Cricetulus griseus: one gene and its partners. The protein of the gene in region 1 interacts with the protein of each later gene in a biochemical or structural test. Links are inferred from orthologs where the notes say so. Each region holds a gene or a part of one and is shown in the gene's direction. Other genes may lie near its edges.

What was found.
Region 2: the proteins of Erbb3 (region 1) and breast cancer anti-estrogen resistance protein 3 homolog form a complex in vitro, tested with the Homo sapiens proteins (2 studies listed by BioGRID and IntAct, with this or other methods). The link is inferred for Cricetulus griseus from reciprocal best matches to the Homo sapiens genes ERBB3 and BCAR3.
Region 3: the proteins of Erbb3 (region 1) and Crk form a complex in vitro, tested with the Homo sapiens proteins (2 studies listed by BioGRID and IntAct, with this or other methods). The link is inferred for Cricetulus griseus from reciprocal best matches to the Homo sapiens genes ERBB3 and CRK.
Region 4: the proteins of Erbb3 (region 1) and Tns2 form a complex in vitro, tested with the Homo sapiens proteins (2 studies listed by BioGRID and IntAct, with this or other methods). The link is inferred for Cricetulus griseus from reciprocal best matches to the Homo sapiens genes ERBB3 and TNS2.
Region 5: the proteins of Erbb3 (region 1) and Sh2d1a form a complex in vitro, tested with the Homo sapiens proteins (2 studies listed by BioGRID and IntAct, with this or other methods). The link is inferred for Cricetulus griseus from reciprocal best matches to the Homo sapiens genes ERBB3 and SH2D1A.
Region 6: the proteins of Erbb3 (region 1) and tyrosine-protein kinase TXK form a complex in vitro, tested with the Homo sapiens proteins (2 studies listed by BioGRID and IntAct, with this or other methods). The link is inferred for Cricetulus griseus from reciprocal best matches to the Homo sapiens genes ERBB3 and TXK.
Region 7: the proteins of Erbb3 (region 1) and Ptk6 form a complex in vitro, tested with the Homo sapiens proteins (2 studies listed by BioGRID and IntAct, with this or other methods). The link is inferred for Cricetulus griseus from reciprocal best matches to the Homo sapiens genes ERBB3 and PTK6.

Annotation. Positions count from the first base shown.
Region 1 is NW_023276806.1:129,315,531-129,320,311, forward strand, and holds the start of Erbb3 (receptor tyrosine-protein kinase erbB-3), read left to right. Parts: upstream 1-1,642; 5' UTR 1,643-1,760; coding exon 1,761-1,950; intron 1,951-3,449; coding exon 3,450-3,509; intron 3,510-4,781. UniProt on the Homo sapiens protein: Tyrosine-protein kinase that plays an essential role as cell surface receptor for neuregulins.
Region 2 is NW_023276806.1:35,982,959-35,987,072, reverse strand, and holds part of breast cancer anti-estrogen resistance protein 3 homolog, read left to right. Parts: intron 1-1,721; coding exon 1,722-1,893; intron 1,894-3,267; coding exon 3,268-3,379; intron 3,380-3,620; coding exon 3,621-3,833; intron 3,834-4,114. UniProt on the Homo sapiens protein: Acts as an adapter protein downstream of several growth factor receptors to promote cell proliferation, migration, and redistribution of actin fibers.
Region 3 is NC_048600.1:89,143,754-89,148,647, forward strand, and holds the start of Crk (adapter molecule crk), read left to right. Parts: upstream 1-1,754; 5' UTR 1,755-1,900; coding exon 1,901-2,141; intron 2,142-4,894. UniProt on the Homo sapiens protein: Involved in cell branching and adhesion mediated by BCAR1-CRK-RAPGEF1 signaling and activation of RAP1.
Region 4 is NC_048595.1:398,504,198-398,508,311, forward strand, and holds part of Tns2 (tensin-2), read left to right. Parts: exon of another isoform or gene 1-70; coding exon of another isoform or gene 71-142; intron 143-1,452; exon of another isoform or gene 1,453-1,458; coding exon 1,459-1,567; intron 1,568-1,951; coding exon 1,952-1,989; intron 1,990-2,811; coding exon of another isoform or gene 2,812-2,834; coding exon 2,835-2,873; intron 2,874-3,189; coding exon 3,190-3,228; intron 3,229-3,363; coding exon 3,364-3,413; intron 3,414-3,635; coding exon 3,636-3,807; intron 3,808-4,114. UniProt on the Homo sapiens protein: Tyrosine-protein phosphatase which regulates cell motility, proliferation and muscle-response to insulin. Phosphatase activity is mediated by binding to phosphatidylinositol-3,4,5-triphosphate (PtdIns(3,4,5)P3) via the SH2 domain.
Region 5 is NC_048604.1:25,493,927-25,498,040, reverse strand, and holds part of Sh2d1a (SH2 domain-containing protein 1A), read left to right. Parts: intron 1-3,445; coding exon 3,446-3,587; intron 3,588-4,114.
Region 6 is NW_023276807.1:139,222,279-139,226,180, reverse strand, and holds part of tyrosine-protein kinase TXK, read left to right. Parts: intron 1-256; coding exon 257-375; intron 376-2,724; coding exon 2,725-2,882; intron 2,883-3,902. UniProt on the Homo sapiens protein: Non-receptor tyrosine kinase that plays a redundant role with ITK in regulation of the adaptive immune response. Regulates the development, function and differentiation of conventional T-cells and nonconventional NKT-cells.
Region 7 is NC_048599.1:707,111-710,711, forward strand, and holds the end of Ptk6 (protein-tyrosine kinase 6), read left to right. Parts: intron 1-695; coding exon 696-877; intron 878-1,346; coding exon 1,347-1,500; intron 1,501-1,848; coding exon 1,849-2,036; 3' UTR 2,037-2,665; downstream 2,666-3,601. UniProt on the Homo sapiens protein: Non-receptor tyrosine-protein kinase implicated in the regulation of a variety of signaling pathways that control the differentiation and maintenance of normal epithelia, as well as tumor growth.

The DNA of each region.
Region 1 (4,781 bases):
AGGTGGATCTCTGCGAGTTTGGGGCTAGTGTGTTCTACAGAGCGAGTTCCAGGACAACCGAGGCTACACTGGGAAACCCTGTCTTGAAAAACCGAAAGAAAACAGAAAGAAAGAAAGAAAAAAGGAAAGAAAGAAAGGAAGAAAGAAAGAAAGACGGGGAGAGAGAAAGAAAGGAAAGAGGGAAATCCTGGGTCAAACTTTGAGCTCCTCCTCTTCTGTCACAATGAATCACATAGATAGATCTGGAGAAAATTCACAAGTTTCCAGTTCTGAAAAGATGAGGTGACATCCCTAGCTCATGTATTCTTTTTTTTTTTTTTTTTTTTTGTGGGTTTGGGTCACGTGTTTGTGTGAATTTTGTAAATTTTCTCCAAATCTACGTATCTATGTGGTACATGGTGACAGAAGGGGAGGGGCTCAAAGTATGACCCAGCATTTCTTTCTTTCTTTTTTGGTTTTTCGAGGCCAGCCTGAGCTATATGAGACCCTGTCTCAAAAAAACAAAACGAAAAAAACAAAAGAAAGGTTTTTAGCTAGTAGCTTTCGCCCAGGGGCAAGGGACAGTAAGTTCTCCAGGCAAGATGTGGAATGCCAACCTAAGGGATGGGAAATGCAACGGGCTGGGCACCAGGAGGCGCCCGTCGGACCCGCCCGGGACCTAGCAACCCAGGGTATGCGAGGCGGGAGGTCCCGGGAGCTGTGCGGTTCCTAGGCGCCTTCTGTAGCCACCTCTCTGCGCTCCTCTTCACTGTCCCCTCCGGGTGTGAGCGCCGCGGTGGCGACGGTGGAAGAGAGGCGGGAACCACGGACAGACGGACGGCGGGACGGACGGACGGCGCGGTCGGTCGGTCGTCCCGGCGTGGACTCGGTCAGAGACAGCTGTTCTCTGCGGCGGCCGTGGGGGGCAGCAGAGGGGACCGCGACAGGTGCGGGAGCCCCTCCCAGGGCAGAAGTGGGAAGGCGGGCTCCGGGGTATGTTCCCAGGCTGGAAACCACCCCCGCCCCCCAAACAAATCCCCCCGAGAGGCCGGGCCGGCGCCGGGTCTGCGGGAGGAAGCGGCCGGAGACAGTGCAATTTCACGCGGCCTCCGGGGCTCGGGTTCCCGGGCCGGATACTTGAGTTATGGGGCTTTGCGTACCGGGGAAAGGGAGGTGGCATGGACTCTAGGCTAAAAAACAACCTCCCACTCAGAAAAGTAGAAATATTCACACTCCAAAAGAAAAGAAAAAAACAAACCCCTCAAGTGATCCAACCGGCTAGGGGAGTTGGGTGATTTGGTTAATGGGCGAGGCCAGCTTTCAGGGGGCTGGGCTTTGGCGCTCTCCCCACCCGCATCCACTACCTTTCCCCGGCCCGGGGACATTTGGGTTCTTGATGTCTTCTTAGCCATCTCCGGGGGAAATTGCTAGAGTGAGACCCCTCCTTGACCCTCTTGGCCAAGCTGCGGGCTGGCGGGGCGCGCTCCGGGCGGGTGTCCCAGGCTGCAGCCACCGGCGACTCCAGCCTCGCACAGGAGGGGGCGCGGCCGTGACTCACACCCCCTTCCCCCTTCCCCTCCCTCCGTCCCTCCTTCCCAGACAGACACCCTCCTCTGCCGTCCCGCTCGGGACTCCGACTCCGGCTCCTGCTGCAGTTTGCAATCTCCGATTGCCGCCACCACCTATGCGCCGGGCTGCTCAGGTGGCTGTCGCTTCGATGTCCTAACCCAGGGGCCCCCGGGCCAGACTCGGCTGGGCTCCCTTCACCCTCCGCTGCAATCATGAGGGCGATTGGGACTCTGCAGGTGCTGGGCTTCCTTCTCAGCCTGACCCGGGGTTCCGAGATGGGCAACTCTCAGGCAGGTAAGCGGCGCGGGGAGCCTCAGCCGGCTGGAAGCGGAGAGCGAGCGCGACCTGAGCGCGCGCAGACCCTGGGCAAGGGGTTCGGGTTCTGGCGCGCTCAACTGCGGGGTGCGACCCCGAGTCTACCGGGACCACCTTGGAGGGGAGCGTGTGGCTTGATTCTCGGAGTGGGCTGGGCAGGGACTGCATTCCTGGATGCCTTCTCCCCTTCTCCCCCGGGGCGTCGCTGACCCTCTGATTGGTGTTTTTCTGATCAGGTTGATGTGGACAGCATCTGAGGGCCTTGCAGAGAGGGCGGGCAGGGACCCTTCTGCAAACCCGAGGAGCCTTGACTTGAAGGGTCTCGGTTTGCTCTCTGGCTCCCTGGTCCCCACCCCACCCGCCCCAGGTTTCAGCAACCCCCAGTTTCGTTGTTTTGCCGGCAGGGCGGAGCTATGCAAGGGTTGAAGTTGTTGTTTTCTGATGTTGGAAAAACAAGAATGGCACCTCCTCTTCCGTGAGTGGGGCTGCCTTGAGAAGGCTGAGATTAACCTGAGGGCCAAGTCCAGGTGACTTCAGAGTGAGAGGCCTCACGGAGGCTGGCTGGCTGCCTTCCCACAAGATAAGCTGGTCCCCAACTTAGCCAGTTTCTCTTTACCGAGGCCGGGTCAATTCAATTAACATGTGGAGCATCTACTATGTACTGTACTATTTCCTGAGCTGCAGGTGTGGGGGAAAGGACAGTTAGCCCTAGTTCTCTCTCTCCTACCTTCTGAACATCCTATTCCGTGAACTCGCTCCTAGACCCAACTTCTTCCCTTCCCCCATTCAGTTGTCTAACTTCAGACAGAGGCTAGATTTTACTTCTCTATACCCCCATTCCACGCCGTCTGAGCCCATTCCTCTGGCTGTCTCTGGGACTAGGGGCACCTGGAGAGTTCTGGGGCTGGTGTACTTCGAGTCCCGTTGATCTCGCTTCACGCCCACCCCATCTCATCTTGGGGTACAGCCAGGGCCCCTTCCCCAGAGTGGGAGTGGGAGAAACCACCTGTGCTTCCCCCACAGTTGCTGGGCCTAAATTTAGCCCCTGGGATCTTGAGGCGTGAACACTCCCAGCTGGTGGAGGGGGTGGTCTGGAGACTGGAGGGGGAGGTGCCAGGGGAGTGACCGGATCACTCTTCCATCTGATTGTGTGCTCTCTCCCCCTCTGTCCCCCCCAACCAGGAACCCAGGAGTCCGGGATTCCCACCACCCTCCCCGAGAAGCAGGGAGCAGGCATGGTTGAGTCTCTCTCTACCCTTTATCTCTATCCTGCAGCCTCTGGGCATCCGGCCCTGTCTCAAGCCTTGTATAGCCCCTTTGTCCCCTTGTGTGTGTGGCTGGGGCAGTGGAGGGGAGACTTCTGAGGGGCTGCATGTTCTTGCTCTGTCCAACCCCAGTCTGTGCTCTACATATAAGAAGGGCTCTGACATCGCTCCTCTTTGAGCTTAGGTCCCACCAACAGGCAGTTCTTGCTGCTTCCTTGCCGCCGGTCCCCAAGTTGCCTGGCTCCTCCTGGGTAGTTGTTTATACTCCCGTCCTGCCCAGGCCCTTTGCCCCTGTTTGTGAAATATGGACTTTGCCCTCAGGGTGGCAGGTAACCGAGACCTGTAAGGCCCTTGCAAAGCATAAGACGCAAGGTGTACAAGGTACTGTGGGCAGATGGGATGCGCTGGCCACTTGTGATACGTCTCAATACAGACTCCAGGCAGGGCCAGAGCGATATATGTTTCTGAGCCGGGGAACTGTGTACATGTTGGTGCACCAGTTGTGCACGGTGTGGCAGTGCTCAACACACGTACACACCACTTCCCTATACAGAGATCCTAGCTCCTCCCTTATCTGGGAGAAGGGTTGGCAGAGGGGTGTCCTGCCAGGAAGGGGACAGGGGTGGGGCAGTTTCAGAAATGACTAACCTTCCTAGTCTTTCACTTCAGCCCGAGGACCCTGGGGTTCCCAGGTGCCTCTGGGAGCCTCCAGGCTGTTCATGCCTCCTTGCTGGGAATAGCTCACTCTTTCTGTTATGGAGACTGATAGGGAAGAGGGCTTTATTTATTTATTTATTTATTTATTTATTTATCGGTTTTCCGAGACAGGGTTTCTTTGTTTAGCTTTGGAGTCTATCCTGGCACTCGCTCTGTAGACCAGGCTGACCACGAACTCACAGAGATCAGCCTGCCTCCTCCCAAGTGCTGGCCTAGGGATAAGGATCTTAAAGAAGGGGCCAGACCAGAGGTGTATGTAGCAGGAGGAGCTGGGGCCTCTGCTCTCTCTCCCACTGTTATGCTCTTGCCCTGCCTCAGGGAAGGGTGGTGAAAGCAGGTGGTTCGCACCCCTACCTCTACCCTCCCCATATGCTCTTCCTCTGTGTCAGAGGAAAGATCCATAGAGCACCAAGGACCAAGACTTCCCTTTTTACAAAGGAAAGTGAAAGCCTGAGACTGGAGTGTACTGGCCACTCTTCTGGCTCTCCCCTGGAGCCATCTCTCCTGCTGAGGAGCATTGCCACTGTTAGAAGTCTTTAATGAATCCTGCTGACAGTGAAATTGGGAAGAAGGCTTCAGAGGGTGTGAAGGGTCTGTTCTGTTTCTCTCCGGGGCTGGAGAGGTGCTGGGGGAGCTGGAGCATGTTGGCTTAGGGGAAGGGAGTAGAAGAGAAGCCAGAATTCAGGAAAGGGGAGGTCGCCAGCTCCTTATCCAGCTTTGGAGACAAAGCTCCCATTGACCCCCACCCTACTACCAGGGCTTGTCCCTGAAGTGAGGTCACTTGTCTGAGCCCAAAGCTCCGGGGTAAGAGGGGGGTGCTGCTGAGGATGGGGTGTCTGGGATAGGGTGGGGCAGCCCCCTCCTCCTGGATAGAATCGACTCATTGTGGGCTGAACTGTGTGGCCCCAGGCACTGCCCCCATCCCACCCTCTGTAG
Region 2 (4,114 bases), about 93 Mb from region 1:
TTCCTAGAGGATACCCTGGAGTCTGAAATCTCCAGAGACTTTTTTTTCTGGCACTGAGAGGTGTGCTGAGGCCTGAGCTCCAAGCCTACGCCATGACCAGCAGCTGTGGAGCCACTCTCCTGCCTGTTTTCTGACCTCAACTCTGGTCAACACCCCTTTCTTTGTGCTGCTGCCTAGAACCTTGCACCCCAATTTGTTTCCTATCCATCTGTGACTGTGGGAGCTACCCACAGAGCCAGGGGGATAGTTTGATTAGTTATGGTGTGTTAACTAAATATGGGCCAAGGTCGAAGGAATCCCAGACTGCCCCATGACTTTATTTTCTTGTTCTTGAATCAAATACAAAACTACCCATGACTTCTGATTTACCACCTCACTCCTGGAGCACCCTCTCATAACACATGAGCACCTCTAGTTTGCTGGCCATTGACATGTAAGCCTCGCATGCATGCATGCATACATATACATACACACACACACACACACACACACACACACACACACACACACACACACACACACACACACACACACACACACACACACACACCACTCCTGGTAACATGTGAGTACCTCTACCTGCTGGCCACTAACGTGAGCTAGTGTCTGTCTGTCTTTCTCTCCCTCCCTCCCTTTCCCTACCCTCCCCCAGACATATACATGTAAAAATACTTGGAGACAGTGAGCTCATTAGTTAACAGGCTTTAGGGGAATTGGGAAGGCTGAGCATGAGCTGAATCACTGTCACTCTGCTCAAGAAAGGTGAGAAACCAATGACCTTGACACAAAAGGAACTCAGCAAGAAGCAACAGCCCAGGCTCTGAGCTTTCAGAACATTGTGATCTTGGAGTTTCAAAGGCACATGGTATCTTAGGAATCATAGCTACAGATTTACCTCCAGCAATTGCATAGTAGCCTAAAAAATTAAGAGTATTTTGACCCAGTGCAGTAAATTCCTGGGTTTAGATTTACAGAGGGAAAGAAAGAGGTCACTGTCTGAGCTTCCTGCCTCTGAGTAACCCTGTTCATAGGGTCCCCATTGTCATGGGGAAGTCACCCTGTTTCCTGCCCTAAGTCTGTGAGTTTGACCCATGTAGTTTAGGGTGAGAAAGGGGAGAATGGAGTAGGGGGAGTGGATGCTTTGTTTTATTAGGGTCTGACCTTACAGTGAATTCCTGCCTGTCCTTCAGTCTTTGTCCACCTCTCCAAATTCTGTGGTATCTGTACTGGGGCTGCAGAACACCGTTCTTGTCTCCTCTCTCCTGCTCTTGTTCTAAGACCCATGACATCTTCCTGGATCAATTATATCCTCTCTCTCTCTCTCTCTCTCTCTCTCTCTCTCTCTCTCTCTCTCTCTCTCTCTTTGTCTTTTCCATTCCTAAGTGGTGCCCAGTCTTTGTCAGGGGTAGCATCCCCTTTTTGTTGGGGGACTTGGTATCTCCTTAGACTACTCATGGTAGGAGAGGGAGCATGTAGCCACATGCATCCGCGGTCCTCTTTACATTCCCATGTGCAGGGCTGAACCTGGTCATGTCCAAGGGCATCTTACTTCCTGAATCCATAATGCATCCTCTGCCTGGTGTGGGATGAGCTTTACTGAGATCAGCTTTCCAAATAGGCTCCCAGCCAGTGGCACACGTATAACCCTGCTTTCGGATATCAGGGCCATTGTCTCCTCATCTTGTTGACCTAAGCCTGACCCTTGGTCTTCTCTCACTTAGACACAACACCATGGCCATTGGCATCGCTGTGGACATTCTTGGCTGCACAGGTACTTTGGAGAACCGAGCAGGTACCCTCAATAAGATCATCCAGGTAGCAGTGGAACTAAAAGATGCCATGGGAGACCTCTACTCTTTCTCAGCCATCATGAAAGCCCTAGAGATGCCTCAGGTGAGATACTGGCTTTGTGCAGCCTTCCACACAAGTAAGCATTCAATGCTATGCAGAGTTCTGTTCATCTGCACCATGTATGGCTGACTGCTTCCGCCAGTCTCTAAAGATAAACTGAATTTTAGTGAAAGCTGCCTTCGTTGGAGGCAGCCAAGAGTGTTGTCCCTACTATTTTGGCTCTGTTTATAAAAACACTGGTAACTGCTGATAGTCCACATCTCAGGTTTGATGTATAATAACAAGAATTAGCCCCACTAACAAGCAGTATTCCTGAAGAACCAGTTAGGACAAGAGACCATGCTCCAGTGTGTGGCACGCCAGTGGCTGCATCCATTTGGGTCATCAGGAATGTGGGCAGTTTGGGTAATGACTTGGGGAAACCAAGGCATTGAAGGAACTTACATCAGAGAATCCCTATACCAGCAGTTCTCAACCTGTGGGTAGTGACCCCTTTCCCAAGGGTCATATATCAGATATCCCGTACATCAGATATTTATATCACAGTAGCAAAATTCAGTTAGGAAGTAGCAATGAAAATAATTTTATGGTTGGGGTCACCACAGCATGAACTGTATTAAGGGTTGAAGTATTAGGAAGGTTGGGAATCACTGTCCTAGACTGTCCCAAAGTATCTTCCTCCAGTTACTTAAGACAGATGTCCAGCTCTCTCACTTGTCGCCTGCGTCCCTGCAGAATGTCTCAGGTCCAGCCTCTGACTTTGTCTGCATTGACAGATGTTGGATTTTATTTTTCAGTAGAGAATCAAATACAGTGGGCCTCCTACAGGGAAGCGAGATCTGCTGTCTTCCCTTGTGTGAGTGCTTGGAGAACTTTGAGGAGTAGAGTCGAGGCCTGCAAACCGGATCAGACCAGCAGCGTCAACACAGCTGGGTCTTTATCTGGGCCGTTTCCTAGACACAGATGATCTCTGAAATCCTGCCAGGTGCTCATAAACATCCATCCCTGCCACCGAGTGACATGGCTGCAGTCATGTGTCCTGGGAATCAGAGCATGCTTGGCACATAATTTCCTTCATTAAAAAGAGTGACCACCTTAAAAGCAAGATGCTGAACAAATTAAGTGCCCTTCCTACAAGTTTCTTGGAGTCACCCACTCTCACACACAAAATAACTATAGTTATTTTAGGCCTTTGTTTTTTTCAAAGTGTGTATAGACACACATGCAAGCACTTAAGAGCTGTGGCATGGGTCGTCAGAACCACGCGGACACAGGGTAGAGGGGTTACGTTTTTTTCTCTCAACTCGAGAATGCTTCTGACATTGCTATACACATCTATCACCTACTCCAACATGTAACAGAAAGGTGATTTTTTTAAAAGAGGCTCTCTGAAACAACAGGCTTTGCTTCTTCCAGATCACAAGGTTAGAAAAAACATGGACTGCTCTACGGCACCACTACACCCAAACAGCCGTCCTCTATGAAAAGCAGCTGAAGCCCTTCAGCAAAGCCCTGCACGAAGGCAGAGGTGAGCACAGGAGCGCAGACTGCTCCTTAAGCAGTCTCTGTTCTATTGCCAGCGCTTTAAACGCCGAGGCAAGTGATGAGACCCTGTCATCGGCAAGGCTGATGATGGCCCCTCCAGTTTTATAGTCACACAATGGCATTGCATGTCCAGATCTGCAGTTGCTACATGAAACAGACTACCAGTCGGCCTGTGATTAACTGTCAACAAAACCTGATATGGAACTTTCCTCCTTGTTCCTCAGAGTCCAAGTATGTCCCACCAAGCAGTGTATCAGTCCCACTGCTGATGCCTCTAGTGACCTTGATGGAACGTCAGGCTGTCACTTTTGAAGGAACTGACATGTGGGAAAAAAACGACGAGAGCTGTGAAATTATGCTGAACCACTTGGCAACAGCCAGATTCATGGCTGAAGCTTCAGAGAGCTACAGGATGAATGCTGAGAGGATCCTGGCAGGTAGGAACTTGTTTCTGGAATCTTCTCTCTGGGGGGATTAGAATGAAGGAATAAAAGAAAGGGCATGGATGCCCTCAGAAAAATGACCAAGGAGATGAAATTAAGGTGTGAACACTTCATTTCCTATACCATTGGTCATTACTTCTTATTTCAATAATGTCTAAGAGCACGCAAGTATAAAGAAACGGGTTTCACTGTGCGCGCGCATGCACACACACACACTATACCTGTGTGGAGGCCAGAGGCCAACCTCAGATGTCCTTCTTCAGGCACCACACACC
Region 3 (4,894 bases), on another chromosome or scaffold:
ACACCACACACCCAAATACAACAACAACAACAAAAAACAACACACCTGAACAAACAGCAAGAATTCAGGCTGTTGAGGTGGGTCAATGGGTAAAGTCACTTGCCCACCAAGCCTGGTGACCTGAAACTCCAGGACTCTCACAGTGGAAGGTGAGAACGAACTCCACAAAGTTGTCTTTGACCTCCACACGTGTGTTGTGGTATATGTACCCATGCCACAAAAAAAAAAAAGCAAAACAGTTAAATTCTGAGCTTCACTTTCCTTCTCTGTAAAATTAATTAAATTTTTATGTACACTGGTGTTTTGCCTGCATGTATGTCTGTGTGAGGGGGTCAGAACTTGGAGTTAGAGACAGTTGTTAGTTGCTATGTGCGTGCTGGTAATTGAACTCGAGTTCTCTAGAAGGACAGTCAGTGCTCCTAACTGGTAAGCCATCTCTCCAGCCCCTAAACTGGAAGTTTTAAAGATTTTCAAAGTTTTATGCAGGGTAACAACAGATTTGTATTTAGAAAACTTGTACTGATGGCTATTACAGTGTCATCCAGCAAGCCAAACTAAGGAACAGCAGCAGGCGGGCTGTGCACTGGAATCTTAGCAATAGTGGCCAGCCAGGCATGTTGGTGCATTCTTATAATCCCTGTACTGGGGAGGCTGGCGTGGAAGGATCTTGAGTCGGCCTGGGCTACATCATAAGATTTCATGTCAAGCAGGGCATTGGTGATGGCACACGCCTTTAATCCCAGCACTCGGGTGGTAGAGGCAGGTGGGTCTCTGTGTTTGAGGCCAGCCTGGTCTACAGAGTGAGTTAGAGGACAGAGAGGGATACACAGAGAAACCCTGTTTCAAAAAAACAAAAACAATTTTTTTCATTTCAAAGTAAAAAAAAATTGAGAGAGATGATCATGATCATGAAGCAAGTGAGAGTAGGAGACATCCATCACTACAACTGAGAATATAGAGGAAACTGTCTGGTTGACATAGGAGCCTCAATCCTTTCTCCTGTCTGAGCATTTTGTTTTCTTTGCATTGAGTATCCTTCCCCACTTGCCATTCAACACCCAATCATTCAAGCCACCTCATCTGTGGACCCTTGTTTGTTGTTTAGGTTTTGTAAGGTAGGGCCTCAGACTCACAGTAATCCTCCTGTCTCAGTTTCCTAAGTGTTGGTGTTACAGTCATGAGTCACATTACCAGTCCCTTGGATCCCTCTACAGACTGCCTAGTTGATCTCTTTATATTCCTGTTTTCCATCATAGCATTTGTTGTTCCTTTGTCATTAATTGTTTCCTGGTTCCTCCCACTGGTCTGTGAATTTGGTGACTTACGGCCCAGTCTGGATCACCACTGCACCTGCAGGGAAATGTAACGTCTATGATTGTTACTGAGTAACAAGAACTTCTGCTTACCTCGGGGGAAACTGAAGAAAACAGCAGAAAAATACCAGCTTGTCAGGGAGCTTTGAGGGAGGCTAACATCTTGGGACCGTTTACTACTCCACTCCTGTAGGTCCTGGGCGAAAGACCTAGGCCACCAATCTGTCAGACACACATCAGTCAGCTTGCAGACTGAAGCTCCGCCCCTTAGTCCTAGACTCCGCCTCCCCATCCTCGGTCGCCAGGGTTTGGACCTGGAGGCGACGCCCATGAAGAAGCCGCGTGCGCACTGCGGGCCCCAAGGACTCCGTTTCCCTTCTCCCAATGGCGGGCGGCGGTCCCCCTTCCCGGCAGCCTCCCTCGGGTAGAGAGCGCGTCATTTCCGGTGGGGAAGGCCCGCGGCCGCCGCCGCCATTTCGGGCGCTGCTGGGAGGCTGACACCGGAGCCGGTCCGCTGGGCGGCGGGCGCCAGGGCTGGAGGGGCGCGCGTGGCGGCGGCGGCCCAGCGTGAAGGCGCGGAGGCGGCCATGGCGGGCAACTTCGACTCGGAGGAGCGGAGTAGCTGGTACTGGGGCCGCTTGAGCCGGCAGGAGGCGGTGGCGCTATTGCAGGGCCAGCGGCACGGGGTGTTCCTGGTGCGGGACTCGAGCACCAGCCCCGGGGACTATGTGCTCAGCGTTTCGGAAAACTCGCGTGTCTCCCACTACATCATCAACAGCAGCGGCCCGCGCCCTCCAGTGCCTCCGTCGCCCGCTCAGCCTCCGCCGGGTGAGGGACAGGCGGGCGGGAGGCCCCGGGCGGGGGTGAGGGCCGTGGAACTCTGGTCCGCTTCAGGAGGAGGGACGTGGGCAGAGAGGGCAGGAGTGACCCTGGCGGGGGAGCTGCCTTCAGCCCAGGCTGGTTCCCACCGACGAGCGGGATTGTGGGGGAGGAGGAGCTGCTCACCGAGGCCTCTGGGTGTGCCTTGGGAGCCGGGGAAGGGGAACTGCTGCGGCCCCGGGGTGGGGCTGGGCGCCAGGGTCAGGCCCAAGGGCAGGGCAGGGCCAGGCAACTTGGGGACAAAGAGTTAGTGGGGATGTTGCGGGGACACAATTTGGCAGAGGTGCCCAGAATGGATCTGCTAATCCTACAAGTGGCTTTTAGGCTTGAAACGTTTCCTGCAGTGTTAGAGCCGGTTTTGGCCATACTCCCCTGGTGGCCTTCGGTAGGAAGTCACCACGTACTGGCTGGCTGGGAGGGATGGAGACACCCTCAGGAAGCCGGTCGGTTTTTTCCTTTCTTGGGCATTTTTCCAAAATCTTTTTACCGTGTTCTTCCCTTGTGGAATACGAAGGTGGTGAACTAAGTGACTTGGTAATAGAAAAAAGCCTTCTGTGACCAGCCCAGAGTAATTGAAGCCTAGCTGGCAAACTGTCCAAGAGGTTTGAAGTGTCCAAAAGACTGCCTGCTGCAACTAGAGTTTCTAGTTTCAAAGTGATTAGTGGGGGAAAGGTTTTTTTTTTTTTTTTCCTTCAGAAAATAAACCAGGTATAAGCCAGTGAGAACAACCCTGGAAGTGAATGGAGCTTCATTCTCCTTGGGTTTAAACAGTGTCAGTCATGTACTTCTGGGTCTTTTATTGCTCAGTAAGTTGGTGTTGTAGTCAAAGTCTTCCAAGATACAAGAACAGACCTGTCTGTAAAGATAACACCAAGCATTTTAGTTATCCCACGGGGTCTTGTCAAGGATCAATGAATTGTAACCGCCTTGCCCATACTGTTGGAGTTGTCTGGCAATGTTAAGGAAATACATCCACTTAGCACTTGAGGTTTTTGAGATACAGAGTGATTCTGTGATTGCCTTTGTCTGTGTATGTATGTAATGCATCAAGTTTCTTGCTTTCTGGATGTTTGAAGTGAAAGCCTTTTTCTCCTAGATCTGAGCCAGTCTCATGAATGAAGACTCCTTGGCTAACCATAGCAGACCTGCCCTTTTTAGGATAGTCCTAACTTAGATTTATTCACTTTGGCCTGAAATGAGGTGCGATAAAGATAGTTCTTTTTGTTAGCACACACAAGTTAAGGGAAGAATTTAGTATTGAGGTCCTTTTAGTTTACACATTTAGATCTTTCTAGGTCTCATTGGTTTAATATGTAAAATAAAATAAGAATATTAATGTAGCACATTTGCCCTAAAGGTATTTGTGCCATCTGCAAGGTATCTATTTTATGTTAAGTGCAGTACTAGGATGGTATGTTGTCATTGAAATTCAATTTCCAACCACATGTCATAGTTAATGCCTGTAATCCCAGCACCTGGGAGACCGAAGCAAGATGATTTTACAAGTTCCAGGCTATCCTGGAGAACTTAGTAAGACTCTGCCTCAAAATAAAAAGTTAGGATGGGGGTGGGACTGGGAATATAATTCAGTGGTAGTTTATTTGCCTAGCATTAGGGAAGCCCAGGTTTTATTTCCAATAGTAGGGTAGAAAATTTCAGTCCTCAGCTTTCTCTCTATGTGTTTTGTTATAAAACTTGGGAATAGTAGCAGGCAGGTTTGTTAGTTTGATATTTCTCCATACCTGGGCATTGTGGTTTTATATCTCAGCAGCTCCACCTTTTCAAAATAGATGGTTGGTCTAAGAGAGGAGATTGCCAGTTTGTGGGTGGGGTAGGAAAGTTCATTGGCATTGTGGCAATTTGTTCTGTCATGTACCCTATTTTCTCTTTAGGGCAGTCAGTTCACTTGCTGTTTTTTACTTTATGATGGATACTTAATCTTTGCCCCCCCCCCATTAAGCTCTTTTTGTTTTAAAGCTACATAGGGATTACTTGAGTTTTAGAGAGGCATATATAATATTAATAGCTGACACTTATTGACTGCTTATTGTATGCCAGATGCTTTGCTGAGGACTTTCTGTGCCTTACAGAAGTTACTGTCGGTAACAATATAGTGAGTGAAATATTGCAATGTGCATTTATTAAAATATTTCCAGTTTTTGGACGAAAGAACTAGAAATCCAGTAACTTGTAAGGTCACAAATTTAGTATATAACTAAACCAGAATTTGAGCTAGACAGTGTCACCTGAGAACTGACCCGGCCCCTTATTATATAGTTTTGTTATTCTTTGTTTATTTGCTTTGAAATCCCTGAAGTGCACTTAGGAAACTCCATTCTTTTGTTTTGAGACAGAGTCTTACTGTGCAACCCTATCTGGTCTGCAACTGTCTATATAAACCAGGCTGACTTTGAAAAATCCTCCTGCCTCTACCTCCTGAGTTCTGGGATTGAAGGTGTTCACTAGTGCACCCAGCTCAAAATTTTAAATAAATAAAAGTCAGAGCCAGCAGGATGGCTTACTAGGTAAGAGCACATGTCTTGCAAGCCTGAGGATCTGAGTTTAATCCTTGGGTCCTAGAGTAGAATAAGAGAACCACTTGTGATGGTTATCCTCTGACCTCCATAGATGGGCCAGAGGTTGTCTCCTTATCCCAATAACTGTTTGTTTGACATGGCATCATTTTGTAGCTCTGACATGGA
Region 4 (4,114 bases), on another chromosome or scaffold:
TCCAGGAAGCCCCAGGCCAGGCCCCAGCATTGTTCAGGCCCTGCAGCCAAGACCCAGCCAGCCAGACACCATGAAGTCCAGCGGCCCTATGGAAAGGTTGCTCAGAGCCCTGGGGAGGGACAGCAGCCGGGCCACCAGCAGGGTAGGAGTGCCCACCAGCTGGGCAAAGGTGGGGCAGGGTGGAGGTGTGGACAAGGGGGGAGGGCCAGGATTCAGGCCAGACCCTCTTGCTAATTTCAGCCTCTTCTCCTGCTCCTTACCTTGCCTCAGTATTCCCCTCATTCCCCTGCCCCCCTGAGGTGGCCAGGGTGGCAGTATGATCCTGCCATCTGTTTGGACTTCTCTGCCTTTCCTTGCTTGAGCCTGAATAAGCCCTGGGAGTTCAGCAAAGAGCTTAAGCCCTGACCTCCCAGGGAAGCTTGAGAGAAAAGGGATGGGAAAAAAGCTATGAAAGGTAGGGAGGAGGCCAGGTCTCCAGGCACTGTGACTGGGAGGATGCCTTCCACTGACGTCATCTGCACATGATGTTATCAACAAGTATGTCCAAGTATCCTAGTGGGTCCCACCTCCAGTCCAGAAGAGGTCTGGAACACTCAAGGGACCAAAGCTGTTCCTCCCCCTTGCCTTTCGAAGGTGTTAACACTGTGGTGGGCAGATCCAGGGAGAGGGGACAGCAGGAGCTGGTATACAGATGAAGAGTGTGGAGGGACTGTCCACAGACTTGGGGTGGGAGGCACGGCCTGCAATGGGAGGGACTGAAGTAGGACCTGGGCAACTGGAAGCACCCCAGCTGCTAGCTTCACTGTCGCTGGATAGGGAGGGGACACACAGAGGCAGCAAGGCAGCTGCTTGTCTGTCCCCGCTGTCATTCCTCCTTCCAACATTGCCACCCCCTTCTTATACAACTGCTGCTTGCAGCCTCAATGCACAAAGAGTAAACACGTTGTTCTGACCCTGAGGGAGGGGGGCATGTCAGCTGCCTGGAGCTTGGAGACATTGAGAGCCAGGGGCTCAGGACTGGCTACAGCCAGTCTGGGTGTTATGTGACAATGTGCATGTGTGTCTGGGCCATCAGCTCATGTATACAAACCTCATCTGGGGAGGGCAAGATGGAAAGAGTCAGACCCCCACTCTGCCAAGATTTGGAAACCCCTCACATTTGAAGTGGCAGTGACAAGGACATCACATAGCAGGGCCACGTGAGGGGACCTAAGTGATCCCTTAGGGAGGAGTTGACCCAGCCAAGGTGATGCAAGGGGTCACATTCCAAGTCCTGTAGAGGACAGGCCCCATGACTACCCCGAGACAGCTGTGGCCAAGTGTGCCTGGGAGTTCAGAGGCTTTGAACTAGAAGGGAGGGAAGCAGCAGCGTCTATCCAAGGCAAGGTTTCCAATTCAGCCTCAGAGATGGGTCCACTAGGAACTCATACCTCTATCTATCTGTCATCCCACCCGCAGCCTAGGAAAGCAGAACCACACAGCTTCCGGGAGAAGGTTTTCCGGAAGAAAGCTCCGGTGTGTGCAGTGTGTAAAGTGACCATCGATGGGACCGGTGTCTCCTGCCGAGGTGAGGTGCTCTTCCTGCGTATCCAGAGCCCTCCACTCAACACCACTGTGCTGGGTGGCTCTAGGAACAGGCAGGCTTACAGAGCAGGGACAAATGCCCTCACTTGCATGACACCCACCTTGCCACAGCCCAGTAGATCTGTGACTCTGCCACCTTCCCATCCTCACCTGTGACTAGAGGCTGCCCTTCCTCCTTGCCTCCATTCATCCTAGACCTCTGGCCTGAATCCCAGACTCTGGAGCAGAACCTGCTGGTACCCTGCCCTGCTCACTGCTCCAGCAATCTAGTGTTAAGTCCCAGGGTTGACTTTCAGGGCCTGGGGAAGTGGAGGGTGCCCACTTTCACTGCCCTCTAAGCCTCTGCTGTTCTCCCCTCCTTCTCTAGTCTGCAAGGTGGCCACACACAGAAAATGCGAAGCAAAGGTGGGTACCTGGTCCTAGCTGATGGGGGATGGAGTCTTTTCACTGCCCAGACACGCTTTTTCAGCCATACTGGCATGTTTCTTCCACCCAGTCCCCTGCCATTCCTGGAGACCCCTCCTGGGTGGCAGGGGTGTTGTGCCGGGCCCTTTAAGAACTACTCTACTCCACCCCTGGAGGGTTGGCCCAGGAGGGTGGACAGTGAGTCGGCAGCGTTTGTCTTGGTGCTGTGCCCAGGCTGCAGCTGGCGAGAGGATGGGGGGGTGGAGAAGCAGGAGGAGGAAGGGTGGGGTGGACAGAGAGGGAGCAGGGTTTCAGAGACCAGGCACTGGAATAGGCTGTACCTTCCCTCTGGGGAAGGGTCCTCAGGATGCCCAAGTTGGTCTTAACCTGGGTGCTGGAAGGGCTGGACCTCTACAGGTACATGGTGTAGGTGGCACCCACTGTCTACTGAGAACCTGAAACAGCCCCATCCCTGAGGAATGCTCCTGGTTCCTCCTTCAGTGCAGGGGGTAGTCCCAGGGCCTCAAGCTAGCTTGGGGGAGCTATGTGCCCATGGGTGGGGTCTCAACGGTGAAAGAGGCTAGTGTCCACCCCTGGCCATTGCCTGCCTGCCCGCCCCTATATATAACTCCTGTCCTGCAGCTGGATGAATGGGGGTCTGTTTGGGCAGGGGGCTGAGAGCCAAAAGCAACAAGCAGGGGGCCTGAGAGGTGGGGGACCAGGAGGCCAGAAGCAAGGCTTCCCTTAAATAGAGGAATAGAGGAACCTCAGCTGGAGCCTGTACTCATCAGTTGACAGCCCCTCCACGTTATCTTTCACCAGCTCAGTCACTCATCTCCTTCCAGGTGACTTCATCCTGTCAGGCCTTGCCCCCCGCGGAGCTGGTGAGTGCTCTAGGATGGGGCAGGGAAGATAGTAACCTGACTAGTGTCCAGAGGTCTGGTGGTCTCAGAGTGGGGGCGCCAGGAGGTTACCTAAAACTGAGCGTTGTAGTTACTGACTGTTCTAGCTCTCCGCTGTTACTGTCCTCTAGAGCCTGGGGTGCGGGAGGGGCGGGGGGGGGGGAGACTGGAGTTCCCTCTTTTCCCCCAGGGAGTAGATAGACACGGACATGCCCTCCCACCCCCACCCTCCAGGTCCAGACTGGTCATTGCCCCTGCCCTAACCACTCCCATTTCCTCCCCCACCTCCTCCCTCTAGCGGAGAAACACTGCCCCAGTACGGCGCATAGAACACCTGGTAAGGGATGCTTAGGGGTCTGGGGGTGGGGGGTGGGTAGCTTTTGGGAGACCACGGTTTGTGGAACTTTGAACTGGGAAGTCTAGAAGAGATGCGTCCAAAGACGATGTCGATGTACGGTTTCTCATCCACCAGGGATCCACCAAGTCCCTGAACCACTCAAAGCAACGCAGCACTCTACCCAGGTGAGAGCGCCCGGTGATCCCACGTGGGCACTTTGCACAGGACCCCCACACAGCTCATGGCATTGGTCCCCAATAGAACACCCCAGGACAATGCTCCCCCTCAGGACCACGCACCCTCGGGACCTAGCAGGCCTCCCAGCGCTCCCCAGGACCTTTCTCATAATACTAGCCCCGTGGGGCGCCTCGCCTCTGTTCCCTAAATCAGCTTTGCGACCTCTCCAGGAGCTTCAGCCTGGATCCGCTCATGGAGCGTCGCTGGGACTTGGACCTCACCTATGTGACCGAGAGGATCTTGGCTGCAGCTTTCCCCGCACGGCCGGACGAGCAGCGACACCGGGGCCACCTGCGCGAACTGGCCCATGTGCTGCAATCCAAGCACCGGGACAAGTACCTGGTGAGGAGCGGGTTGGCCAAATTCAACCAATGAGAGGGCTGGGAGGTCCAAATGAGCAAGGCTACTGTTTGTCATCAGAAATGGAACTGGCAGGAGGCGGGTATTAGTGTACAAAGGCGAGGCGGGGCGGGGCGGGCCGGGCGGGCGAGGCGGGGCGGGGCGGGCCGGGCGGGCGAGGCGGGGCGGGGCGGGCCGGGCGGGCCAGGCCGGGCCTGAGCTCAGTGGGGCGCGCAGCAGCTCGCAGAGAATTCAGTTCCAGATGATTGCAATCTTATTTTAGAGTAAGATTGAGGGTCCACCTCCAGCT
Region 5 (4,114 bases), on another chromosome or scaffold:
TTTCTTAAAAAATCTGTCACTGCAAATAAATAAGCAATTTGATTTATTGTGAAGAAGAGTTGTATGTACCTGATATATGTAAATTTATGTATGGGTTGGTCACAAATAATCCTCTTCCCTCAAACAATACCCTTCAGCTGAGCAATACAAATATTTTTATGGAAAAAATCTTTGATATTTTTGCGATTTAAAAAATTAGTTCTTTGAGAATTTTGTATAATATGTTTTGATCTTATTTACCCTTGTCCTCCAAGATCTGTTCCTCTCTCCCAATCCAGGAAATTTTGTGTACTCTTTGTTTTGATAAATCTGTCTTCTCAATTTGTGCTGTCCAAATATTCTTGGATGTGTGGCCTTCCTCAGAAGCATGATTGATTTACCAGGGGCTATTCTTTTAAAGAAAGTTGGCTTTTCTTCTCCTGGTAGCTATCAATTGCCAGCAGCTCCTTGCCAGAAGTGGGAATTTGTACACACCTCCTCTCTTCATGCTTGGATTTGATCTGGCTTAGGTTGCACAGGTCTTGTGCGTGTTGACATAACCACTGTGAGTTCATATGTGAAGCTGTCCTGCTGTGTCTGGAATACATTGTTTCCTTGTAATTTTCCACTGCTTTATACTCTTTTCACTTCTCTTCCTCAATGATCCTTGAGCCTTGGGAGGAAGGGATGTGATATGGATTCTTAGACACATTTTATAATTCATTTTCTTCCATTTCGCATGTAACATCATAGCACATCATTACATATTTGTAAACATTTTCAGAGGAGGGTCTATTGAGCATAAATATTCCTTATCCTATTATCTGATTTGACCCTCCTTATATAATAATATTGTAATTATTTGCACCATGAGAGCAGAAGATTGTCTTGGGTTATCCCCAAATGGGAAATAGGTAAAAACATCTTTGTTTCATGAAATGCATATTGCATTTTTTCTGTCTACAAAATTTGCCTTCTTGTTAAGGTGAATATTAAAGTAGTGCACAATTCTCAGAGCTCAAATCACCTGGCTGGAAGAAAGTTCTCCAGAGTGTACTGAAGATCAGCTGTGATTCAAAACGTGTTTCCATGGATAATTAAGTGATGGCAGTATGGGAAATGCTCAAATTTGAACAAGAACTGAATTCACTGACAGGATAGTAGCCATGATGCTTTTTTGTGTGTGTGATAAATGTCTTTCCAAAATGTGGTAAGTGGCTTATGTACTACTTTCAGGAAAAGCATTTTAGTTTGACATACCATAAGAAAAGGTCATGTCAGGAACATTCTAGCCTCTGTCCTTAGGTAAGTTTAAGACATGTTTTAGAGATGTGATATTAAATTGAACTTTGAATCTATTGGATTATGAAAGAAAATATTCAGAAAATTTCATTTTAAGTAGAACATTACTGAGGACATTAACTTAGTTCCTGGAGGCTAAAGTTATGATGAATTGTTGATTATCATTTATTAAGTATAGATTGTCAGCAATTCATTGTCAAAAGTGTACTGTTCTCTCCCTCTCTGCCAATTTCTGTGCTTTTGGGCTTTTCTGGGTAGTTGGTCACCAGGAGATTCTTAGCTAGTAAGTGAATTACTTATTAGCCTAAGCAAAGCATCATAAATTAGGTCAGTCATTTGCTAAAGAAATGCTGCATCTCAAGTTCAAATTACTTCTCTATGTCCAGTGGTAATTGTCTTCTCTGTCAGCATTGATAATCAAGTGTTAACTATCAGTCTCCATAGAAATGATGCCTTTGTTGAAAATACATGTATAAGCCACAAGAAACAGCCTAAATGAAGTGTGGTTTCAAATGATTCCCCTCTGGGGAAATATGCAGTCTCTCTTCTGGCAGGTGACCTCAGCTTCACTCGAAACTACTTGGTCTAGTCTTAATCTGAAAGGAATGCAGAGACAATTCTGCTGCTTCTGATTTATGTGTGACCTCAACCTGCTTATTAATTTACTTCAATGCAAGATGATTAGGTTACATGTTTATATCTGTGAAATGAGAATAATTGGAAGAATCAATATCTTCCAATTCACGAGGAAATAGTGAACGCAAGAGATGGGAAAGTGTTTTGAAAAATCAAAAAATGCCCTAAGGAAGAAGTAAGGAGGTATTTTGTAGCCATTTGCACGCCTTTGTAATTTGCAGCCTCTGTCTTGAAGCCAAAGAGTTATTTGGGTCTCTGCGAGAATGGCCATGTTATTTTTAGATGAAGCCTCAGCAGAAAATTAGGTCTTCTGATCATAAGAATAGGGATGGGTAGGAGACCATTTTCTGTCCGTTGACACTGGATAGATGAACACTAAATTACAGCTAAAGAGAACATCTACCATGTGTTTATATTGGAAAACTCCCTACTCACTCCAAAGTAGGCAATGACCAAGAGTAACTTTGGATAGTCAGTTATCTCGAGTTTAAAGTCCAGTTGACAGAAGTCTGTGTGCCAGCCTCATATTTTCTCCTTAAATGCTAAAAACCAAGCAGTTCCCATCTCAAAAATCTTCCAGATGGAATAGCTGAAAAACAACTTTCTAAAAAAAAAAAAACTAGAAAGAAGCAAAACTAGTCATTGTTCAATTGCTCGTAGCAATACTATTTTATTTTCTGTAAAATGACAGTTTTGAGCGGGTGCCTAAAGCACAGCTCATAAGCTTTGTGGGGAATGTTGATTTCAGGCAGTGTCCTTGTGAGAGCACAGATGTCAAGGAAAGAATACATTCTTAACAGCCACCTGCAAATTTGATCTCTTTAAAAATGAACAAATACATAAATAAAGATAAACTTGTATAGTCTTTCATTTACATGTCATAGAGGAAACCTTGTCATGGTGCAGGGCTGACTATGCAAACAATTTGGGCAAAGAACACAAAATTAACATGAAGGATGATTCAGTATGTATTATGACGTAAAATAGTATATGCATCGGCCAGCCATGCAGTTGTGTGTATCGTAACAGTCACTTTTTAAATTTCCTGTGTAATATTTGATATTATAAAATGAGGATGGGGGACATGTTGTTGGTTGTTGTTTTGATTTCTCAGGCTTTTTTGTTAATGACCTGTAGGATCTATACATTTTTTTTATGTTTAACTTCATCCCCTCTGTTGCTGAATTCATTGTGGGTAATGGCCTGTACATCCTTAGAGGTTCAGGATGTATGACGGGTAGCAGTCAGGAAGGGCAGGGCTGTGAGAAAGAGCTTGTACAAACTAGTACTACCCTTGGGAGAACTGCAATGACAGCTCATTAGCTCCTCTTGCAAGGAAATTCAGCCAAGCAAAGTAAGCTCTTCTGGATGTTGTTTTCATTTCTTCCTTATGTTTTCAAATATTTGAGCAAGTTACACAAATGTTACCTCTCTGAGCATCCCTCTCACATGTTATAGGTCTTTTTCTTTCTTTTTTTTTTTAGCATCATGAGGCAAATGAATACTTTTTTCATCTTTTATTTTCCAGACAGCACCTGGGGTACACAAAAGATTTTTCCGGAAAATAAAGAATCTGATTTCAGCATTTCAGAAGCCAGATCAAGGCATTGTAATACCTCTGCAGTATCCAGTGGAGAAGTCCTCAGCTAGGAGTACGCAAGGTACCACAGGTGTGGACACCTGCTTAGTTTTCAAACACTTGGGAAGCTTAGATTTAGGGGGTCAACCTATTCATGACCACATAAGCAGCAGGAAGATCATAAGAAAATTTCAACAAGGAGGTAGCTGCAGCCAGAAAATCAGATGAGAGGTAACTATGCAAAAAGGCTCTACTATGCTGTAATATACACTTTTAATAAAACTGTAGAAAAGTCTATGAGGCCAGGATATTTTCATCTCTTTATTTCTATCTCATTCCTCCTAGTCCCTTTAGTAGTACCTAGTACCATTTTGCTTCAGTAACCTATGCACATATGATTTGAAAGATGGGATAGTTCAGGGAATATGTGGGTCGTCTGTTCCCTTTTGCTTACTAAACAACCTCCTTTGCCCTTCTGGCACAGAAAGGCTAATGGTAGCCTAGTTCCTGTGATTCTGATTTCTGAGCTGATGGTATTTGAATGAATGAAATTTTACAGTAACAAAGGAAATCAAATTAGTACTCTTGGGTGCTTTACTGACATTCATGATTCTCTTG
Region 6 (3,902 bases), on another chromosome or scaffold:
ATAAGTGCTTCCCAAGTTTTGGGACTATAGAGCTGTAGTTTTCAGAGATTCAATGAAAATGAAATCAAGGAGACATGGTTCTAGAGGAGGAAAACAAATAAAGGGAGACTTCATTGCCCGCCGTCAGGATGACATGGTGCACAGCCTTTTCTAGGGGAAAACACTGGGTTTCAGCAGGTCAGAGCAGACAGAAGTATTTGAAGTAATTAGACCTCGGTGGACATTAATACAGTGTGCTTGAATCCCACGATGGCAGGTACGTTTTGGATGATGAATACATCAGTTCCTCGGGAGCTAAGTTCCCAGTCAAGTGGTCCCCACCTGAAGTATTTCATTTTAACAAGTACAGTAGCAAATCTGATGTCTGGTCATTTGGTGAGTATGTTTGTTATTGCTGGATTTAATACAGAGGTTGCCTTTTCAACTCTTGCTTGTGTGCTTGTTTCACATGATGTAGCAGTCTTTAAAAGCCTTCTTGTAGGTTGGAGAGATGGCTCAGAGGTTAAGAACACTGGCCGCCCTTCCTGAGGTTCTGAGTTCAATTCCTAGCAACCACTCAGTGGCTCACAACCATCTATAATGAGATCTGATGCCCTCTTCTAGAGTGCAGGCACACATGCAGGCAGAACACTGTATAGATGATAAATAAATAAACCTAAAAGCCTCTTTGTAACTTCTTTGGCAACTGGATTCATGCACCCCCTCACACTGCTCTATTCTCAGGATCTCTCCTACCCTAGAGAGCGGGTGCCACGAAGCTATAGCAAGGAATCTGCTGGCCTAAATGCAGCCAATGCTCCCATTATCACAGAGGTTTGAAGGAAACGATCTACGTCATCACCGAGTTTCCAGTGTGCTTAATAAGCTCCATTGTTTATTCAGTGGCTTGATTGTTTCCCAACTTGACAATTTGAGCTTAACATCTAGATCTAAGAAAAACAACAGCTTACTACCTTCACTTTATACTGTCAAGGTTTATGGGATTTGCACCTTGGCTGCTTGGGTTCTGTCTATTGATGTTCATATTGACTAACATTCTCCACCGAGATAGAGACACTGGAGATCTGTGCCCAATGCGGCTTGTTCCTGTGAGTCGATTTTCCAATCATGGCAACTTATGAGCACAAATCTTAGCTTTCATCTAGGTCTTCCTGGGTGGCTGTGAGGTTTAGAGGGATGTCCTTGTCCTCACAAGTGTGTGAGTCTGAGAGATGCCCTTGTCTTCACAAGTGCATGGGCCTGAGAGATGTCCTTGTCCTTACAAGTCTGTGAGAATATTCTGCATGATAAGATTAAGCTTGCATCATTGACCATGTTAACTCTCTACTGGCTTGATCTCCCAGCAAGCAAGGGTTTGAACTTTGTTGGGGAGGGACTGTGTGAGTGTATTTTAGGGACCTGGTGGATAGTAAAACAAGGAATCTCCTCCAGTGGCTGCAGAGCAATTGGAACTCACTCAGGCTCACATTTCCTTCTCCCTGGATAATGAACTAGTGAGCTAGTGAGCTTCTTTTTTTTTGTTTTACACACACACACACACACACACACACACACACACTGTGGAGGCCAGGGGACAATCCTGGGTATCATTTTCAAGAATGGCATCTACCGGAGCTGGGGAGATGGCTCAGCCATTAAGAGCACTGGCTACTCTTCCAGAGGACCCCGCTTCAATTCCCAGCACCCACATGGCAGCTCACAACTGTCTGTAACTCCAGTTCTGGGGATCCTACAACTTCACACCAATGCACATAAAACAAAGTTAAATAAATTATTTTTTAAAAGCAGAATGCCATCCACCTCCTTTGAGACGGCCTCACATTGGCTTGGAGCTCACTAATTAGACTAGACTGGTGGTCAGTGAGCCCCTGGAATCTGCTTGTTTCTACCCTTCTCTCCCACCCCCACCCCCACCCCCAGACTTGGATGACAAGAGTACATCACCAGGCCAGACATTTGAAAACAGATTTATTTTTATTATTTTTAGTTATATGTATGGGTATGTGCACATGAGTGTATGTGTGCACAGAGACCAGAGGCCTGGATCTCCTGGAGCTGGAGTAACTGGCCGTTGTGGACTGCTGCAGTGGGTGCTGGGAACCAAATGGGTTCCATGCAAGAGAAGCATTAGTACTTTTAACCACTACAGCATCTCTCAGGGGCGCCAGGCATTTTCACATGGGTTCTGGGTATCAACCTCAGGTCTTCTTGTTTATAAGCAAAAACTTTACCAACTGAGCTGTATCATCCCAGCCTTTGCGGCATTCTGTAGGGCCTTCCTGTCAGTTTAGACTCTTCATGGACAGAGGCAGATGTGCACCATCTGCTGGCTGTGGGGTTGGGGGGGGGACTGCTGGCAGCAGCAGGCAGAAGAGGCCCACAAATATGTCATTGTCTATGGAAGAGCAGCCAGATCTATTGATTTGAGGGGGTGGGGACAGGAGGAGGAGGGAACAGGAGCAGCACTTAGCAATGAAAATGCTGCCACAATGTGCACCATAGGAGATGCCGCGACCAAAACAAAAGGCAAGGAGGCATTGTTTTTCTTAGGGATTATTTTCAAGGTACAGACCTATTAAATACTCAGGGGTGTGCAACCACATAGAACTGCATTTTTCTGGGCAATTATGACTCTCAGGCTGGAGCAGATTAACATCTTGCAATTTGAATCCAACCGTTGTTTTGGTTCCAAGTGACTCCAGTTTTTGCATGTTTTCTTTGCAGGAGTTCTAATGTGGGAAGTTTTTACAGAAGGAAAAATGCCTTTTGAAAATAAGTCCAACCTGCAAGTGGTGGAAGCCATTTCTAATGGGTTCCGCCTGTATCGCCCTCACCTGGCCCCCATGTCCATATATGGCGTTATGTACAGTTGCTGGCATGAGGTAGGTGTCCCTTATTACTGAGACTGCATCATGGCAGCCAGAATTGCTTGTTCCTTGGTAATGGCCCTCCCTGAGAGGCAGGGCAACATTTCTAATGAAACTCCCACCCCAGAGTCACGAGTCCTTTTTGTTTTTCATAATGGGCTTTTCATTCAGGAGCTCAGTTTCCTAGTCTTATCAGGCTGAGATCGGTTCTTGAAGAAACTGGATGTTTCTAAAGCCTCTGGATTCAATAATTTATCATCTTGAAGAACTAGGTGGTGGACTCACACAGACTCTGGTTTGTTGAACTTTCCCCACAGAAAATGAAGGAAGCTGTTTTATTCATTTCTCTTGGCTTTCACTTGCCTTCACTTTCAAGGCTAAAAAGTAATGTGTTTCATCTCTCTCTGACACTTTAAGACTCCTGATAAAGAGACTAAATCAGAATAGAAACCGTAGGCAGACTGTGCTGGGAACTACCATTTGGGAAATCATCTCTTTGGAGTTGCTGCTTTTGTTGAAATGCCAAGATTAAAATATCAAGCCAGAAGGGTGGGTTTCTGTCCCCTTCTCTCCCTTTCTGGGCATCTATTCAACACAGCCCTCCTGCTCTCATCAGACTGTGATTTTCCAGAGCTCTGCTCTGTAGTTAGCAGGCTCAGCCCAGAAAAATCACAGCTTGGGGAGAGGGGCTCCTGATGCCTGAAAGACAAGGAATAACAACAAACAACAACCCATCATTTTATTCCCAATCCACAAACACTAGAAAAGCCAGTATTTCAAGAGTGGTGGGGTTGTTCATATTCCAGAGAAGTATTTCACTTAGGAACATCCCCAGTGTATGGAAATAGCCATGATTAATTGCCCACAAGGAATCTTGAAAGACAGAAGATTGTTAACTAAACTGTTAGTAGCAACAGCTGCCTCAGGAATGAATGTCTTTGCCATCACAATGCAAATAGATTAGGAACAGGCAGATGGTGGCTATGGTGGCTTTGACTTAGATTTTCCAACTTTATAATGACATATTTTGAGCAT
Region 7 (3,601 bases), on another chromosome or scaffold:
AGAGTAAAGTTGTGTAATTTTCGGCAGGAAGTGGTCTTCAGAGATCAAATGCATGCCCCTTGTAGGTGTAGCTGTTAGTATTCAGGCATCTGTACTGGCCTGTCCTCGGGGTTCTAACAGGATATGCCCTCGGCTGCAGCCACTAAGAACAACAACTGTGCATATTCACTATGTTCCCTTTTAAAAGGGCCCTGTCCACCTGCCATTCCTCTCTCTTATTCTCTTCCTCTCTCTCTGTCTGTTCCCCCCTTCTCCCCCCCCATTTCTTTCTACTGCTGCTCCCATCCCCAGAGGCTGGTCTCCCTCCTCCCCTTTTCCCTTTTTATGACCCCTTTTGCTAATAAAAATCCCTCTGTTTGAACCCTGTCTCATGGCATCTTTCTCTCCTACACTGCTTTTCTTAAATTACAACAGTAGCAGTTTCTGGATGGACAGCATCTAGAGAGTTCAGTGGTTACACTATGCCAAGTATATCTTGCAGCAACATCTTTGGCCTTAGATTGCTTTATAATTCCCAGAAGGTGTATGGGACAAAGAGCATGTGTGTGCTCTTTGTCTCTAGGTACTGCGGAAGGTCTAGGATTGTCCACTTTCCAAATAAGCCAGACCAGCTGCCCTTTGCTGGAGCCTTCATAGGCCCAGAAAATGAGGACTGAGCTCTGGCCAACTGACTCTGGCCTCTGATCACCCTGCAGACTCTGATGAGGAAGCCCTGCCTATTTCGGAGCTGGTGGACTTTGCATCACAGGTCGCTGAGGGCATGTGCTACCTGGAATCTCAGAATTACATCCACCGTGACCTAGCTGCTAGGAATGTCCTTGTTGCAGAGAACAATCTCTGCAAAGTGGGGGACTTCGGGCTGGCCAGGCTTGTCAAGGTAGGACTCTGGAAGAAGCCTGAAGCAGGATATGGGGTTTTATTTTCCAAGCCTCTAGCAGAACCCAGCCATGGGCAAGATGAGTTCTCGATAGGGCGTTGTTAATAGGCAAGGCAATGGCTTCATTCATATAGCCACAACCTTGTTTATGCCACATTGGGCCAGCTCTGGGTATCCTGGACATAACCATGTACACTGGTCTTCTGTCCCCACACATTGCAGCTCTCCCCTTGTGGTACTCTCCCCCTGCCAGAATCCCAGTGAACTGGCACTTTTGATACACAGGGCCTATCCATGATTCTAGCACCTTTGGCTGCAGTGGGGTGGAGTCAATAGGTCAGACAATAAGGCAGTGTGTTTACACCTGCCCACTTGGACCTTGGCATCCATGTCTGTCCATGCTACACAGGAAGGGTACAAGTGGCAGCTCCCTCTAGTGTCAGGGCCCCACCATGTCATCTTATTACAGGAAGACATCTACCTTTCCCATGACCACAACATCCCTTACAAATGGACAGCACCCGAGGCACTCTCCCGAGGACATTACTCCATCAAATCTGACGTCTGGTCTTTTGGGGTTCTCCTCCATGAAATTTTCAGCAGGGGGCAGATGCCCTACCCAGGTATTGTTCCAAGAATGTCCCCAACTGTTGATAGGCAGTGAGGTGGTGTGGGGGCAGGTCTTGGATGGCTGAGATGACAGGAGGCGCTTTCCATAGCCTCAACCAGCCCCCACCCCTGTTCCATTCTTTGAGCATCCAGGAGCACGCTGCTGAGATCACTCCAGGAGACACTGTCCTCAGGGAAGGCAACAGCCACAGTGTCCTGGAAAATGTCCAGAGCATGTGGTCGTCATTCTTGTTGGAGACAGCATCCAGGGAGGGGTCAAAGGCAGCTGGGTGTGGTGTCCAGGGATTGGAGGGTGGGCATCAGACTCTTAGCTCTCATTTCTCTTCTCCCATGGGCCACAGGCATGTCCAATCATGAGGCCTTCCTGAGGGTGGATGCCGGCTACCGCATGTCATGCCCCCTGGAATGCCCACCCAACATGTACAAGCTGATGCTCAGCTGTTGGAGCCAGGACCCCAAGCAGAGACCTTGCTTCAAAGAACTGTGTGAGAAACTCTCAGGCATCACTAGGTATGAGAACCTGGTCTGAGTTCCTTGGACGTGGCCAGGACCCACCAAAGAGCGCCTTCGTGATTATCCTGGACCTCCATTGAAGGTGTGCAACATCCTTCACCTTACCGGGATAGGAAACATATCAAACATACCTCAGATACTACGTGCTGTCAAGGAGCGAGTAAAGAAGGAGCCATAGTCCCTTCCCATCTATCCTCTTCCAGGAGGTGGTCCCCAAAATTCCAGGCAGCCATCCTGGCTTCTTCCTCTCATCTCCTGGGAAGGCTTCATGTGACAGAGAAGCCAAGAGTCTCAGCAACAAGCCTGTGGAGTTCTTTCCAGCACATCACTTTCATAGCATATCTGTCCTTGGTCACTCCTCTGCTCAATTGTCCACACACACCCCACCCCTTGGCACCTTGATTCTACAGGCTCTTGTGCCACAGAACAAGTTTTGGAGCTTCAGGTCCTTTCCCTTCAGAGATAACTTTCTGTCCTGAGCTCCTGAGACAGAACACTCTCAGAAAAGACCACTGCCTTCATCTACCACTCTCCCTTTCCTGTTTGGACCTGAGGCTTTCCAGATGGTTCTGGTCCAAGCCTGCTTTCCCCATGTGTCTCCAGTGTTCTTGAACACATGCTTGATCCCTTAAGCCCAGCCAAACTATCTGCTCTCCATGCCAGCTCCTTATATACTAGGACATCAGGGCCCCAGTTCTGAGGGGTGAGAGCACCCCTAAAAGCTGAGGCTGTCTTACTAGAAGTTGGCATAACCCTCTGACCACATATCTACCAACTCTTTTCATACTGACCTCCCAAGATGGGTGAACATGCCCCAACCTCCCTTGAGGAAACGTCCCCTACGTGTCCAAGAAGCGACGCTGTCTATCTGTACTGCTTCCTGTAAAGTCAAGCTGTCTTTTAAAAATATAGTTCTCAGGGACATAACTGTCACTAGATAAGGAGAACACAGAGAAACATTTGGAAACAGGGCAAATGAAAACTCTTAGAACTAAGTCTTTTGCATAGATATTAGTCAAAAATTTTCTCTAAGTAACTTAACCTTTCATTTTTGTCAAGAACAGAATTTGGGCCAGCCAGGCTTGGTGGCACACATCTTTAATCCCAGCACTTGAGAGGTAGAAGTAGGCAGATCTCTGTGAGTCCAAGGCCAGCCTGGTCTACACAATCAGTTTCTGGACAGCCAGAGCTACATAGAGAGATCCTGTCCCAAACAAAACAATACAACCCCCCAAACCTATAAAAACAACAATAAAAAATCAAAATAAAGATGAGTGCTCATTAAATATCCCTAAAACCTCAGAAATAGAAGGTCAAATGTTAAGATTATGATTTAGAATAATCTTTAAGGGTGTTGGTAAAATTTAAAAAAGGTATGTTTTCAGACGTGCCAACCCTGAATACAAACAGCTAGACCAGTGGTTCTCAACTTTCCTAATGCTTTCCTCACTCATATTGTGAACCCCAACCATAAATTATTTTCGTTGCTATTTCATAAGTATAACTTGGTTTCTCTTATGAATCATAATTTAGATATTTTTGGAGATAGATTTGACAAGGGGGTCACAACCCACATGTTGA